2 linked regions of the Caenorhabditis elegans genome follow. The protein of the gene in region 1 interacts with the protein of each later gene in a pairwise test. Each region holds a gene or a part of one and is shown on either strand. Other genes may lie near its edges.

Evidence for each region.
Region 2: the proteins of cfp-1 (region 1) and hpo-9 interact in a two-hybrid assay, tested with the Caenorhabditis elegans proteins (one large-scale study listed by BioGRID).

What each region holds. Positions count from the first base shown.
Region 1 is NC_003282.8:14,075,515-14,083,657, forward strand, and holds cfp-1 (CXXC-type zinc finger protein 1), read left to right. Parts: upstream 1-1,926; 5' UTR 1,927-1,935; coding exon 1,936-2,104; intron 2,105-3,171; coding exon 3,172-3,455; intron 3,456-4,634; coding exon 4,635-4,985; intron 4,986-5,914; coding exon 5,915-6,225; intron 6,226-6,450; coding exon 6,451-6,656; intron 6,657-7,304; coding exon 7,305-7,510; 3' UTR 7,511-8,053; downstream 8,054-8,143. Other genes in the region: ccar-1 (SAP domain-containing ribonucleoprotein), read left to right, coding at 1-547, 609-841, 894-1,091; F52B11.2 (putative phosphomannomutase), read left to right, coding at 8,054-8,125. UniProt on the Caenorhabditis elegans protein: Transcriptional activator that exhibits a unique DNA binding specificity for CpG motifs; enriched at promoters containing the trimethylation mark on histone H3 'Lys-4' (H3K4me3).
Region 2 is NC_003283.11:7,234,297-7,238,990, reverse strand, and holds hpo-9 (BTB/POZ domain-containing protein 9), read left to right. Parts: upstream 1-1,860; 5' UTR 1,861-1,864; coding exon 1,865-1,979; intron 1,980-2,028; coding exon 2,029-2,814; intron 2,815-2,862; coding exon 2,863-3,160; intron 3,161-3,378; coding exon 3,379-3,491; intron 3,492-3,538; coding exon 3,539-3,972; 3' UTR 3,973-4,069; downstream 4,070-4,694. Other genes in the region: Centriolar and ciliogenesis-associated protein hyls-1, read right to left, coding at 480-712, 906-1,060, 1,111-1,281, 1,337-1,433; C05C8.5 (Exonuclease domain-containing protein), read left to right, coding at 4,178-4,265, 4,317-4,454, 4,500-4,630, 4,675-4,694.

The sequences.
Region 1 (8,143 bases):
AGGGATGAAAAGAAAGACGAGAAGAGGGAGGAAAAGAGGGAGAAAGTCGAGCGAATCGATCTCAAATCAGTTGTTGCCAATCGTACTGTATATGAAGCCTTCTCGCTTTTTGATTCAAACCTTTGCGGTTATTTGACCGAAAAGGACATTGAAGAGATCCTCTACAACGGAGAATTCGGAATATCCAGAGGTCAAATCCAAAAGCTCGCCAAGAAGTTGTCAGTCCGAGACAAGATCAACTACCGTCACCTGACTGATGTTCTAACCGATATGGACGGAAATGTACGGCATACTCCAGGAGGAGCCGATGATGTAGTGGAGACTGACGACTTGATTCGAGGATTCGGTTACAATTTGGCGAAGAGCATGGAACCAGCTGATTCGGGAGCGGCGGTAAAATCATCGGAAGTTTCTGCTTCGTCGGATGGAGTCGTTATTATCAATGGATCAGCGGTGAATGTTGTGCAGAAGATGAAGCTGCTGAAGCAAGTTGAAAAGGAGAGAGATGAGGCGAAGAGTACTGTTAGTGAGCAGCTTTCATTAATCGGTAGGGATTAAATATAATTGTTTTTGTTTTTAAAAAAATTCTTTAATATTTCAATTTTCAGAGCAACTTCGAGAAGCCAAGGCTGAAATCGACAAGAAAAAGAAGGACATTGACTCTCACTACCACAAGTCCAACAAGAAATTGAATGAGACAAGTGCTCAGCTGAAGTCCACTCAAGATGAGAATTCTGCTCTGAAACAGGCCCTTCAAGACTGCAAACGACATGCTGATCGCATTTTTTCTGTAGTTGAGAAGGTTATGCCACCACCACCAAAGAAGGAGGAGAAGAGCAAGGTAATTCTGAAAATTTGGTTAATTTTGTTTTAAAAGTAATAATTTATTTCAGAAGGACGAAAAGGAGAAAACCGATAAGAAGGATGACAAAGTATCCGAGAAATCCGCTGAAAAATCAACTGAAGAACCTTCTCAAGAAGTTCCAGCGAGTGCTGAGCAGGCTGCTGAGCCATCTACAGAAGCAGAACCAATTGTTATTGATGAGTCTGAGGATAAAGACGCAGAAGTTGTGGAAGAATCCAAGGAATAGAAAAAACAAATCTCTCCCTCTACAATTAATGATCTATTTTTTTCTTCTTTTTTTTGGTTTTCTTTAACTTTTAAATGTTGTTCTTTAAATGACGTCCCGTAAATAACCATAATATATCTAAATAAATGAAATATATATATTCGTGATATTGTATACTGTTAGGATGGTTTAGAATTCCATAAGTTTTATCAGATTTTTCAGATTGGCAGCAAATGGTGATCCGGAAAATGAAAATATTTTCCGATATTTCGACAAAAAAAATCAATTTTTCCGGAAAAACTTGATTTTACCTTTTTGAGAAGAAAAAAAGATAAAATGTTGAATTTTTGTTAATTTTTAAGAAAAAAACTTGTTTTTTCGGGAAAATCGACAATGTTCAATGAAAAATTCGATTTTTCGACCAAAAAATTAGAAAATTGCGTCATTTTTCGTATTTTCAGGCAAAATTTGATAAAACATTGAAATTTTCCCCTTTTTTCCAAAAATTCTCAATTTTTTCTCCAATTTTCCGGAATTTCGAAAAAAAAAATGTATTTTTCCGCAAAACTAGCTTCAAATTTTGACCATTTTTCGTATTTTTTAGAGGAGAAAAAAAAATATTTTTCTGAATAAAATTAGCGAAATTTGATCAATGTTGGGATTTTTGTTAAGTTTTGTAAATTTTTGAGAAAAAATTGCGTCATTTTTCGTATTTTTTGGCTAAATTTGTTAAAAAATTGAAATTTTCCCCTATTTCCGAAAAATTCAAGATTAAATCGACGATTTTTCGCTAAAAAATTGGCTTTTTAACCATTTTTTTTTTCGTATTTTTTGGCTAAAAATATGTTTTTTTTAGATGAGCAGTATGTCAAATAAAGAAATCGAAGATAATGAGGATGTATGGAAGGAAAGATGTATGAATTGTATTCGATGTAACGATGAAAAGAATTGTGGAACATGTTGGCCGTGTCGAAATGGAAAAACTTGTGATATGCGGAAATGTTTCTCAGCGAAAAGATTATATAATGAGAAAGGTTTATATTTGGAGGAAATTCTTTTCAAAAATTGATTTCTCTGAGCTCAGTTCTAGTGAGGCAAAGTGCATGGAAACCTAGGCAACCGGCAAAAGCTTGTAGCTCACCTGCTTCCATGATAAATTGCGGATTTTCGGGCATAAAATTTAATTTTTATTCGTTTTTTTTCCATTTTTCTACGTCATTTTTAACGAATTTTCATCTTTTACAATGTCTGCGTCTCCTGCAGGCGATTTTCGAAGGCATTTTCAAATAACATTTTTTTATTTTACAGGTGGAGTACAGAAATTTCGTTTTTTCAACCAGAAATTGCCGAAACTAACGTATTTCCTGTAGAAATGCTCTGAAAATTTCTCAAAAAAAGGTTATGGAACTTGAAAGTTTTGGAAAAAATACCTATTTTAAGCTAAATCTCAAACTTTTTTTGGCAAAATTTGAAATTTTTGCTGAAAATAGGCTTTTTTCCCAAGTTTTGAAGCCCCTTAACTTCTTTTTTCAGAAAATTTCAGCGCATTTCATGAAGAAATTCGGTAGTTTGGGCGATTTTTGATTTAAAAAGCAAAATTTCGTCATTTCACCCTTAAATAGACTAAAAATGGCTTGAAACTACCGATTTTAATTATAAAATTTCTCTGAAAATTTCCCAATTCTTCTAAAATCTGAAATTTCGCAAATTTTTTTTCCCACAATGGCTGAAATCCAGCTTCTTAAGAAATTATCTCAATTTAGCGTATATTTTGGTAGTTTTTTCGCATTTTTTTTTTTGAGAATTTAGGCACATTTTTAGGTCGATAGGCATCTGGCTAAAATTGATGCCTATAGGCTGAAAACGATCCTAAATCAACAAAAAAATGCGATAAATGGTGAAAATTTAATTTAAAATATCGGAATTTCAGTTGCTAGAAAAGGGAAAAGTTGGCAAAAATTAGAATTTTTAGTAAAATTTAACTTTCTTTTCAAAATTTAATTTTTTCGAGAATTCTCATCACGAAATTCGGTCTTTTCCGGTCAGTTTCAGTCTTTTTTTTTAACGAAAAAAACCCTCCATTTCAATTCAATAATTCCAGTAAAAAGACAAACCGACGAAAATCTGAAGGCTATAATGGCAAAAACAGCACAACGAGAAGCCGCTCATCAGGCAGCCACAACCACAGCACCAAGTGCTCCGGTGGTAATTGAGCAACAAGTTGAAAAGAAGAAGCGAGGACGAAAGAAGGGCTCTGGGAATGGAGGAGCTGCTGCTGCTGCACAACAACGGAAGGCTAATATTATAAATGAACGAGATTATGTACCGAATAGGCCGACGAGGCAACAGTCGGCTGATTTGAGAAGGAAACGGACACAGTTGAATGTTAGTATTTATTACTGTGGAAACTGTACAAATCCGAGGATTTTGCAGTGTCGCACAGAAATAGCGGAGGCGGAGCGTAATTTCGCAAGCCTGCGGCACGGTTTTTCCTCTTTTTTTGTTGATTTTTTGCAATAAAGTTTCGATTTTTATCTCTTGTTTCGAATAAAAATGTTCTTCAATGCGATTTTTGAGAATTAACTTGGTTAGCATTTTAATTCGAAAAAAGACGGTAAAATCGAAATTTTATCAAAAAAAAATCTACAAAAAAGAAGGAAAAAACCGTGCCGCAGGGTAGCGAAATTAGGCTCCTCCTCTACTCCTGTGCGGCACTGATTTTCACGAATCGATCGTTTAATTTGTGTATACAGTTGAATGTGAGACTATTACTGCTGAAACTAAACAACAAAATCCGCGAAAATCCGTGAATTTTGCAGCGGCGCACAGAAATAGAGGCGTAGCGTAATTTCGGAAGCCTGCGGTACGGTTTTTCGAGGCACCACGTTTTGAAGACCTGTTCAAAAACAAGATCCTCCAAAACAAGATCTACGTTTTCAGGATCTGGCACCGTGCCAACTGCGGTTTTCTCGATGAAAAACGAAACAACGATGCTCCGATGTTACGCGTTGTTTAGCGTTCAGAAAACTATTTTTGAAATTTTCTTCTAGAAGATACGCTAAACAACGCGCGACGCGTAACATCGGAGCATCGTTGTTTCGTTTTTCATCGAGAAAACCGCAGTTGGCACGGTGCCAGATCCTGAAAACGTAGATCTTGTTTTTGAACAGATCTTGAAAGCGTGGTGCCTCGAAAAACCGTGCAGCAGGGTTGAAGTTGAATGTTAGTATATTACTGTTGAAACTGAACGATCAAATCTGTGAATTTCGCAGCGTCGCACAGAAATAGAGGCGGAGCGTAATTTTGCAACCCTGCGGCACAATTTTTTCTCCTTTTTTCGAATAAAAATGTTATCCAATTTTTATTCTCATAAAATATCATACGAACTAAATTGGAGACACATTTTCTGTCGAAAAAGGAGGAAAAACCGTGCCGCAGGGTTGCAAAATTACGCTCCGCCTCTATTTCCGTGCGGCGCTGCTTTTCACGAATTGATCGTTTAATTTCTACAGGAAAAACCTGCCGAACTAATTAAAATTGAAAAAAAAAATCAATTTTTTCCAGGCAGAACCCGATAAACATCCTCGTCAATGTCTCAATCCGAATTGTATTTACGAATCTCGAATCGATAGCAAATATTGTTCCGATGAGTGTGGAAAAGAGCTCGCCAGAATGCGGCTCACTGAAATTCTACCGAATCGCTGTAAACAGTACTTTTTCGAGGGCCCATCCGGTGGGCCGCGCAGTTTGGAGGACGAAATCAAGCCGAAACGGGCTAAAATCAATCGAGAAGTTCAGAAATTGACGGAATCCGAAAAGAATATGATGGCATTTTTGAATAAGCTCGTCGAGTTCATAAAGACACAGTTGAAACTTCAACCGTTGGGCACAGAGGAGAGATATGATGATAATTTGGTACATTTTTGGCTCATTTGCTCAAATGACAAAAAAAAAATCGCCTTTTCGCTTCTTAAATTCACAAAAAATTGTTTTTTAGCCGAAAAACTAACAAAAAACCTGTTAAAATTGTCATTTGTCGATTTACGTAGCTCGTGTACTCCTCGAGGAGAAGTTTGTCTTAATTTTGCACAGGATTTCCTTGATTTTGGACTATTTTCTACGATTACTCTGGAAATATCGTAATTTCACAAGATTTTAACTTTTCAAAGGCACACGGATTTATTTAAATGGGTCTCGATGCGAAAAAGTTTATGGTAGCTTTTTTGTTTCATTTTGCAATGAAATTACCTCATTTTTAGCGAATTTTGCCGTTTTCTTGCCATTTTTCTCTTTTTTTCAGGCCAAAAAACGGGAATTTGCACATTTTTTAATAGAGAGAAGCTTATTTTTGAACTTTGCAAGTTGATTTTAAACAATTTTAACAGAAACAATGAAAAGAAACCCAAAAACCCGTTTTAGCGATTTTTTCCGTTTTCTTTTCATTTTTTCCATTAAAAATTGTTTTAGATAAGTTTCAAGGTACAAAAAATCTTTTCTCCATTAAAAATGTGTCCTTTCCCCATTTTTCGGCCTGAAAAACAAGAGAAATGAACGAAAAGTACAAAATTCGCTAAAAACGAAGTAATTTTATTGAACCATAAACTTGTTTGCGCGTCGAGACCCATCTGAATGAATTCGTGTGCCTTTAGGAACTTGAAATCTTGTGAAATTATCAAATTTTCAGTGTAATTGTAGAAAAGAGTCCAAAATGAAGGAGATCCTCTACAAAAATTGATGCAAACTTCTCCTCGAGGAGTGCACGAGCCACGTAAATCGACATATGGCCGTGTTAGAGCTTTACACGGTCATTTTCATTAATAAGTAAAAAAATTCAATTTTTTCAGTACGAAGGCTGTATCGTGTGTGGTCTCCCGGACATTCCCCTCCTAAAATACACAAAACACATTGAGCTGTGTTGGGCTCGAAGCGAAAAGGCAATCTCATTCGGAGCACCGGAGAAGAATAACGACATGTTTTATTGTGAAAAATATGATTCGCGAACGAATTCTTTCTGTAAACGGCTGAAATCTCTGTGCCCAGAACATCGAAAACTGGGCGATGAACAGCATTTGAAAGTGTGCGGTTATCCGAAGAAATGGGAAGATGGAATGATTGAGACGGCGAAGACAGTTTCAGAATTGATTGAAATGGAAGAGTTAGTGGAGAATTTGGAGAATTTTTTGATGGCCGAGGATCCGACAAGAGATTTAGAGCTTTTTTTGCTCGTTTTTGCGTGAAAAATTGTGAAAAAATGACCGAAAAAAAAGAAAAATTCGGGAAAAATAGCAAAAAAATCGCTGAATCTTGTCAGATCTTCGACCGTGGCCGAGAAAAACCTCGGCCATTCAGCAAATAAAATTGCAAATCAATCAATTTTCAGCCCATTCGGTGAGGAAGGCTGTCGAACGAAGAAGGACGCGTGTCACAAGCATCACAAATGGATACCATCGTTGAGAGGAACTATTGAGCTGGAACAAGCTTGTCTGTTTCAGAAAATGTATGAGCTGTGCCACGAGATGCACAAATTGAATGCTCACGCCGAATGGACAACGAATGCTCTGTCGATTATGATGCACAAACAGCCGAGTACGGAAAAATGCTCATTTTTTCTGCGAAATTTTGCGATTTTCGCGCCAAAATTACGGTGGCCGGTCTCGACACGACAATTTTTTGTTGGGTGCAAAAATGTGTGCGCCTTTGAAGATTACTGTAATTTCAAATTTTGGTTTTTTTTTAACTTTTTTATCGGAAAACTATAAAAATCACTGGAAATTCCGCTGCAACTAAAATTTAAAGTTCCAGTAATCTTTAAAGGCGCACAGATTTTTGCAGTTAGCGAAAATTTGTCGCGTCGAGACCAGGCACTGCATTTTTCGCACAAACTGCCCCGTGTCGATTTACGGGAATTGTGTACTCCCCGAGGAGAAGTTTGAGAATTTTACAGTTTTTGTCGAAAAGCTTGAATTTGGACCAATTTCTCTAATTTTTTTTGTATTTAACGGTCAAAAAGCCGAATTTGCTGTTAAAAGCAACTGAAAAAAATTAAAAAATTGGCGATTTCACCGTTAAATATGTTATTAATCAGCAAAAAAAATTCAAAATCTGGTTTTTCCAGGGAAAACCGCTTCTGCTCGAGGAGTACACGAGCTCCGTAAATCGACACATATCCCGTGTCTGAATGAGAAAATCCTCAAAATTTCACAGATTTTTAAATCTAAAAATGAAATTTTACAGATATTATTGATTCCGAGCAAATGTCCCTATTCAACAAGTCCCAATCCACGTCATCATCCGCCTCGGCTCACGGAGCAACGACACCAATCAGCTCAACATCATCATCATCATCATCATCATCAAAAAACGATGATGAAATGGAAGATACCGCCGAATTTCTAGCAAATCTGGCTGTACAGAAGGAGGAGGAGACGCAGAATAATTAAAATTTCCCTATTTTTTTTAGTTTTTTCCTCAAAACTATCATATTCTTTCATTTCCGTGGAATTTCGTATCTTTTTTCCAAATCTGAACAACATTTTTTTCTGTTTGAATAGGTGTCGTCCTGAAATATGGCGGAGAGAGAGAGAGTGAAGAGACGCAGACACTCTAACGACACGTTGCGTATATTACACGAAGCACTGGCTTTTTCATTCGTTGTTCTTCAAAATTTTTATGATTTTTATCTTTTGAACAAAAAACAAATTGAACTTACCCTTCTTTATATTATTATTTTATTTATTTTCTTCTAGTTTTCCAAAAACCTTTTTTTGTTCTATTTTTTGTTTCACCCAATTTCTCTCTATCGGTGTTCTTCATTTTGATCCTCAACTATTCACTCATCTCTCTTTATACATTTTGGTCTCTCTCTCGAAGAAAATTGACATTAAATGTATTATTTTCCATTTTCCGAATTTTTCAACAAAAAACTTTTATTCCAAAAAAAATCCTTAAAAAATTTAAAAAAAAACACCAAAAAAATTTTTCAGATGACTTCTCCAGCGAGTAGCCGAACAATTTTGGTGTTCGACGTCGATGGAACACTCACTGCTGCTCGTCAGGTTAGTCTGCGAGATTTT
Region 2 (4,694 bases), on another chromosome or scaffold:
TTATTATTATTATTATTTTTTGAAAATATTTTGATTTTTTCAAAAATGTATATAATTTTTTAAAGATTTGAATTTTCCACAAATTTATCCATTTTTTAAAACATATTTTTGTTTTTTTTCCAAATTTTAATTTTTTTTTACTTTTTTTAGATTTTTTAAAAATTGGCATATTTTTGAAAATGTAAAAAAAAACTTTTTAATCTTTTTTTTTTTGGAAATACGATTTTATCAAAATATTTGATTTTTATTCTATTTCATTCAGTCTATATTGTTGGAAATATTTTAATTATTTCGAAAACTTTTTTTTTCCAATATTTTCTTTCTTTTCAAAAATTGGCATTTTTGATACTTTGATTTTTTCAATAATGCCAATACTTTTTAAAGTATTTTAATTTTTTCTAAATCAAAATTATAAATAAAACGTTCTTCCATCGCTACTACACAGTCACGACACTCTCAAACTGAATAAAATGAATTACTTGTAGAAATGATATCTTGTGACCGGATCATATTTTTTTGGTGCTCTTCCTGGTTCAAGTGACAACACATTCCGAGTCCAAACTTCTTTTTCCGGTCGTGAAGATTTTTGAAGCTCTGATTGTTCAGTTTCAGTGCTTAACCCCACGGAAACTGATTCAGCGATATTTTCCTCATCATCCACACTTGATCGTTCTTGTATGTCGCTGCCATCCAGTGATATTGATTTAAGAGTCTGAAAAAATATTTAAAACTTATTTTTTATAAAATAAAATGCACAAACATCTGAATCTTGACGTTCGGTTGGCTCACAGGATTCAATTTTATTATTTTTAGACTTTTTGAACATTTTCCAGCTTAATCTATGGAAAAAATCTTGAATGGAAGTCAGCATTTTTCAACAAAAAAAAAAACGAAAAAGTCAAAACCTCTGTGGCACCATTGCATGTTTCCATTGCACGATGTATGCTTCGCCACGCTCGATCGACCAGAAGGTTTCTCTCAGGATACTCGTTTGAGCTTTCATCGTCGAAATCGCTTTGTAACTCTACATTTTCGTAGATAAACCGTTTTCCTTGTCTTTCTGAAAAAAAATCACAGATTAATTGAAGAAAATCTTAAAACTTAACTCACTTCTAGAAACAATTGGGGACTGAATATTCAGATTTTCGGTTGGAAAATTTCGTTCTTGTCGTATGAATTGAGCGGCTGGATCAACTGATAATGAAGCAAATAGAGATTCATTCATAACGTCTTCATCGGCATCTGACAGACAAAGCTCTCGGTCGAGTAGATTATCAATTTCTGAAGAATACGATCTTTTATATTGGATTTAAATATTTTAGGAAAAAAAACTAACCATTCTTGAAAGTTGCAAATTGGTTTTTGTCATGTATATGGTGACCCATTTGATGAAGAATATCTTCGAGCTCGTTTTCAGTGGTAAAATTTGCCATTTTTCCTTGAAGCCAAATGCTCGATGAAGCGTGTTTTATGAACAAGGAGGAAATGACGTACACGTTAAACTACCCGTAACGTTTTGAAAATATTTTTGAGATTGTCACAATGATCTGATCAGTCACAAGATGGTGGGGTTTTTCTGTAACAACAAACAATATTGTTCGTGCAAAAAAAAAACAAATAAAAAACAAAAAAGCAAACGTGCTCTATTGAACGCCAGAAAGCGCGCCAGGTTCAAATCTTAAAAAAATAGCGCGCGCGGTGCCATTGCAAAACAGTGCGCCCAGATTGCCAAACATGACTCCGCCCATCATTCTCCTTGTTAAAAACTTTTCCGAATTTTCTAATTTTATCCCGAAAAATTAAATTTAAAATAACTTTTTTATTAAAATTCAATAATTAATGATAATGACGGGTTTTCAGGTACATGAGCGATAACCATGCTTTTGGGCGGCCGATTCAAGAAGATGGACGAGGAATTGTCGAAACTATGAGAACAGAATCCGCCGCCATTTCCAATAATTTTAATGCGGTGAATAGCGGTAAGTCTCTAAAAGCAGAAAAATTGACCAAAATTAGCTATTATTTCAGTTAACAAATCTGTTGTACAACATCTTGATGAGCTTTCACAAAGTTTCGATGAGATTTTCACTTCAACAGACCACTCCGATGTAACTCTTGTTCTCGACGATGGAACTGAATTTGCTGCCCATCGTTTGATCTTGGCTGTGAGAAGTAGCTTTTTTCGAGCTATGCTCTATACAGGTTTTCAAGAAAGCCATCAACAGCTTGTGACTCTTCAGGAAACGAATTCAGTAGCCTTCCGAGCTGTTCTTCGGTACATGTACACATCGAAAATCGATTTTGCCGGAGTGGAACTGGATATTTTGCTAGAATATCTCAGTCTGGCACATCGTTATGATTTAATTCAGCTTATGACAGCAATAAGCGAATATTTCAAGGAAATTTTGAAGAATGAGAACTTGTGTAGTATTTTCAATGCTGCATACTTCTTTCAATTCACTGATCTTATAGATTATTGCATGCAATATTCTGATAAACATGCAGATCAGCTTCTCGAAGATCCCAGCTTCAACCGATTATCAGGAGATAGTCTGAAGGAGCTTCTTGCGAGAGATTCATTTTTTGCATTAGAATTGAAGATCTTCAATGCGGTACGTTCATGGCATCAGAATAATCCAACAATGAAAGAAGCATCAAAAGTTTTGCTGGAATTGGTCAGACTTCCCCTTATAACACAAACCGAACTTCTTAATTGTGTAAGACCAACTGGGTTGGTGTCAGCTGATACTCTTCTGGATGCTATAGAAGTTCAAACACAAAGACCACACGAGATTCCATTCAGAGGATGCAAAAGTGAGTTGAATTTTATTTATTTTCTGTTTAATCTATTCCATTTTATAGGCCTCGACACGAATATAATTCCACACTATCCACACGCACAGCCATTGTCACGAGAGCTCAGCAGTCGCTACACTAATGACGAGAATATTAGTGTATTTCAAATTGATCTCGGAAAACCATTCATTATCAATACAATTATGATGGATTTTAACTGGAAAAATGAAGTTCAAGCATTTACATACCAAGTTCACGTTAGTATGGATAATCGAGTTGATGCTCATTGGAATCTAGTTGCTGATTACTCGGAATATGATTGTCGAGGAACACAAAGACTCTTCTTCACAGATTCTGTTGTGCGGTAAGTGATTGATTTTATTGTAAAATCCATTGCATTAATAGTAGAAATTCAAAAACATTTCGGCGGTTTTGGAACTAACGGGCGAAGTTTAATTGATCTATTTTTTATTCATTTTCCGAAACATTTAAAACTTTCGAAAAAAAACTACAGCGCCTATAGTAATTTTCTACAGAAAACCCGTGAAACTCGAAAATTATTCACCATAATTTGCATTTCAGGCATATTTTGATCCGAGTCAACAATTCAATGTCGTGTAAACTGGAAGGAAGTCGAATCGAAGCCATGTTCTCTACCGAAACAATGCCTGTCGAACCTGTGCACAAAGTCATAGGTATCACATTTTGCTGTGGAAATGTAATATAATTTCAATTTTCTCAGTTCCTCATCGAAACATCACAACGATAGAAAATCACGCACGGGTTGTTGAAGGAGTTTCTCGATGTCGGAATGCTCTTATCAACGGGGATTCCTCATCCTACGACTGGGATACTGGATACACGTGTCATCAAATTGGAAGTGGTCTCATCATGATTCAACTTGCTCAGCCCTACATTATATCTTCAATGCGAATTTTGTTATGGAATTGTGATGATCGATTCTACTCGTATTATGTTGCCGTATCGAAGAATCAAGACGAATGGGTTACGATTGTCGACCGCACCAATGAAGAATGTCATGGATGGCAAGAACTCATATTTGATCCTCTTCCAGTTGTGTATATTCGACTTGTTGGTACCCGGAATTCCATAAACGAAGTCTTTCACGTTGTACATCTCGAGGCTCCCTCAAACGTTCCAATTGCCATAAAATAAAACCGGGTTACAGAAATATATATAATGCATTATTTCACTTAAATGTCTGATGAAAAATAAGTTATTAAATTTATTGAATAAAAATGTTAATAATTTCTTTTGAAAAAAAACCACATACACGGACGCCACACACCGAAAATAAATTTATTTTTTTATTTTCTTTATTCTTGAAATTCTAACCGTTTTTTTCAGATTTTTGAGAGGGATGGCGAAGCGAGAACTGAGGAAAAGTCTCAAATCAGAGATAGAAAACCTATTCAAATCACCAGAACAAGCAGAACATGAATTTCAATGTAAGGGGAATAAATAAAAAAATAAATTCCAGGAAAAGAAATTAATTTCAGGTGCAACAAAAAGACGTCGATTAACAAGCTCTGAAAAACCAACCAAGTCTCCTAGTACAAGTAGTGATGATCCATCCAAGCCAAAATTAGAGTTAAGGCTGTCCCGACTAGGTGATGGCCATCGATTAGACTGCGAAAGTAATAATCCACTTTAAAATCCACAATTTTCGCATAGTTTTCCAGCTCTGGCTCAGTTTATTCACTTCAGCATATTTGGATCATCACTCCAAAAGCCCAGATGGGTCAGTCTATCCCATCATAGAAATGTCCTTCAGAACCTAGTGGTTCGTGTCAATGTGGATGACGATTTTTTCGTAAGGGATTGCATTGAAAACCTAAATCGCTGAAATCATTACAGACGACAACGAATCTAAGCTT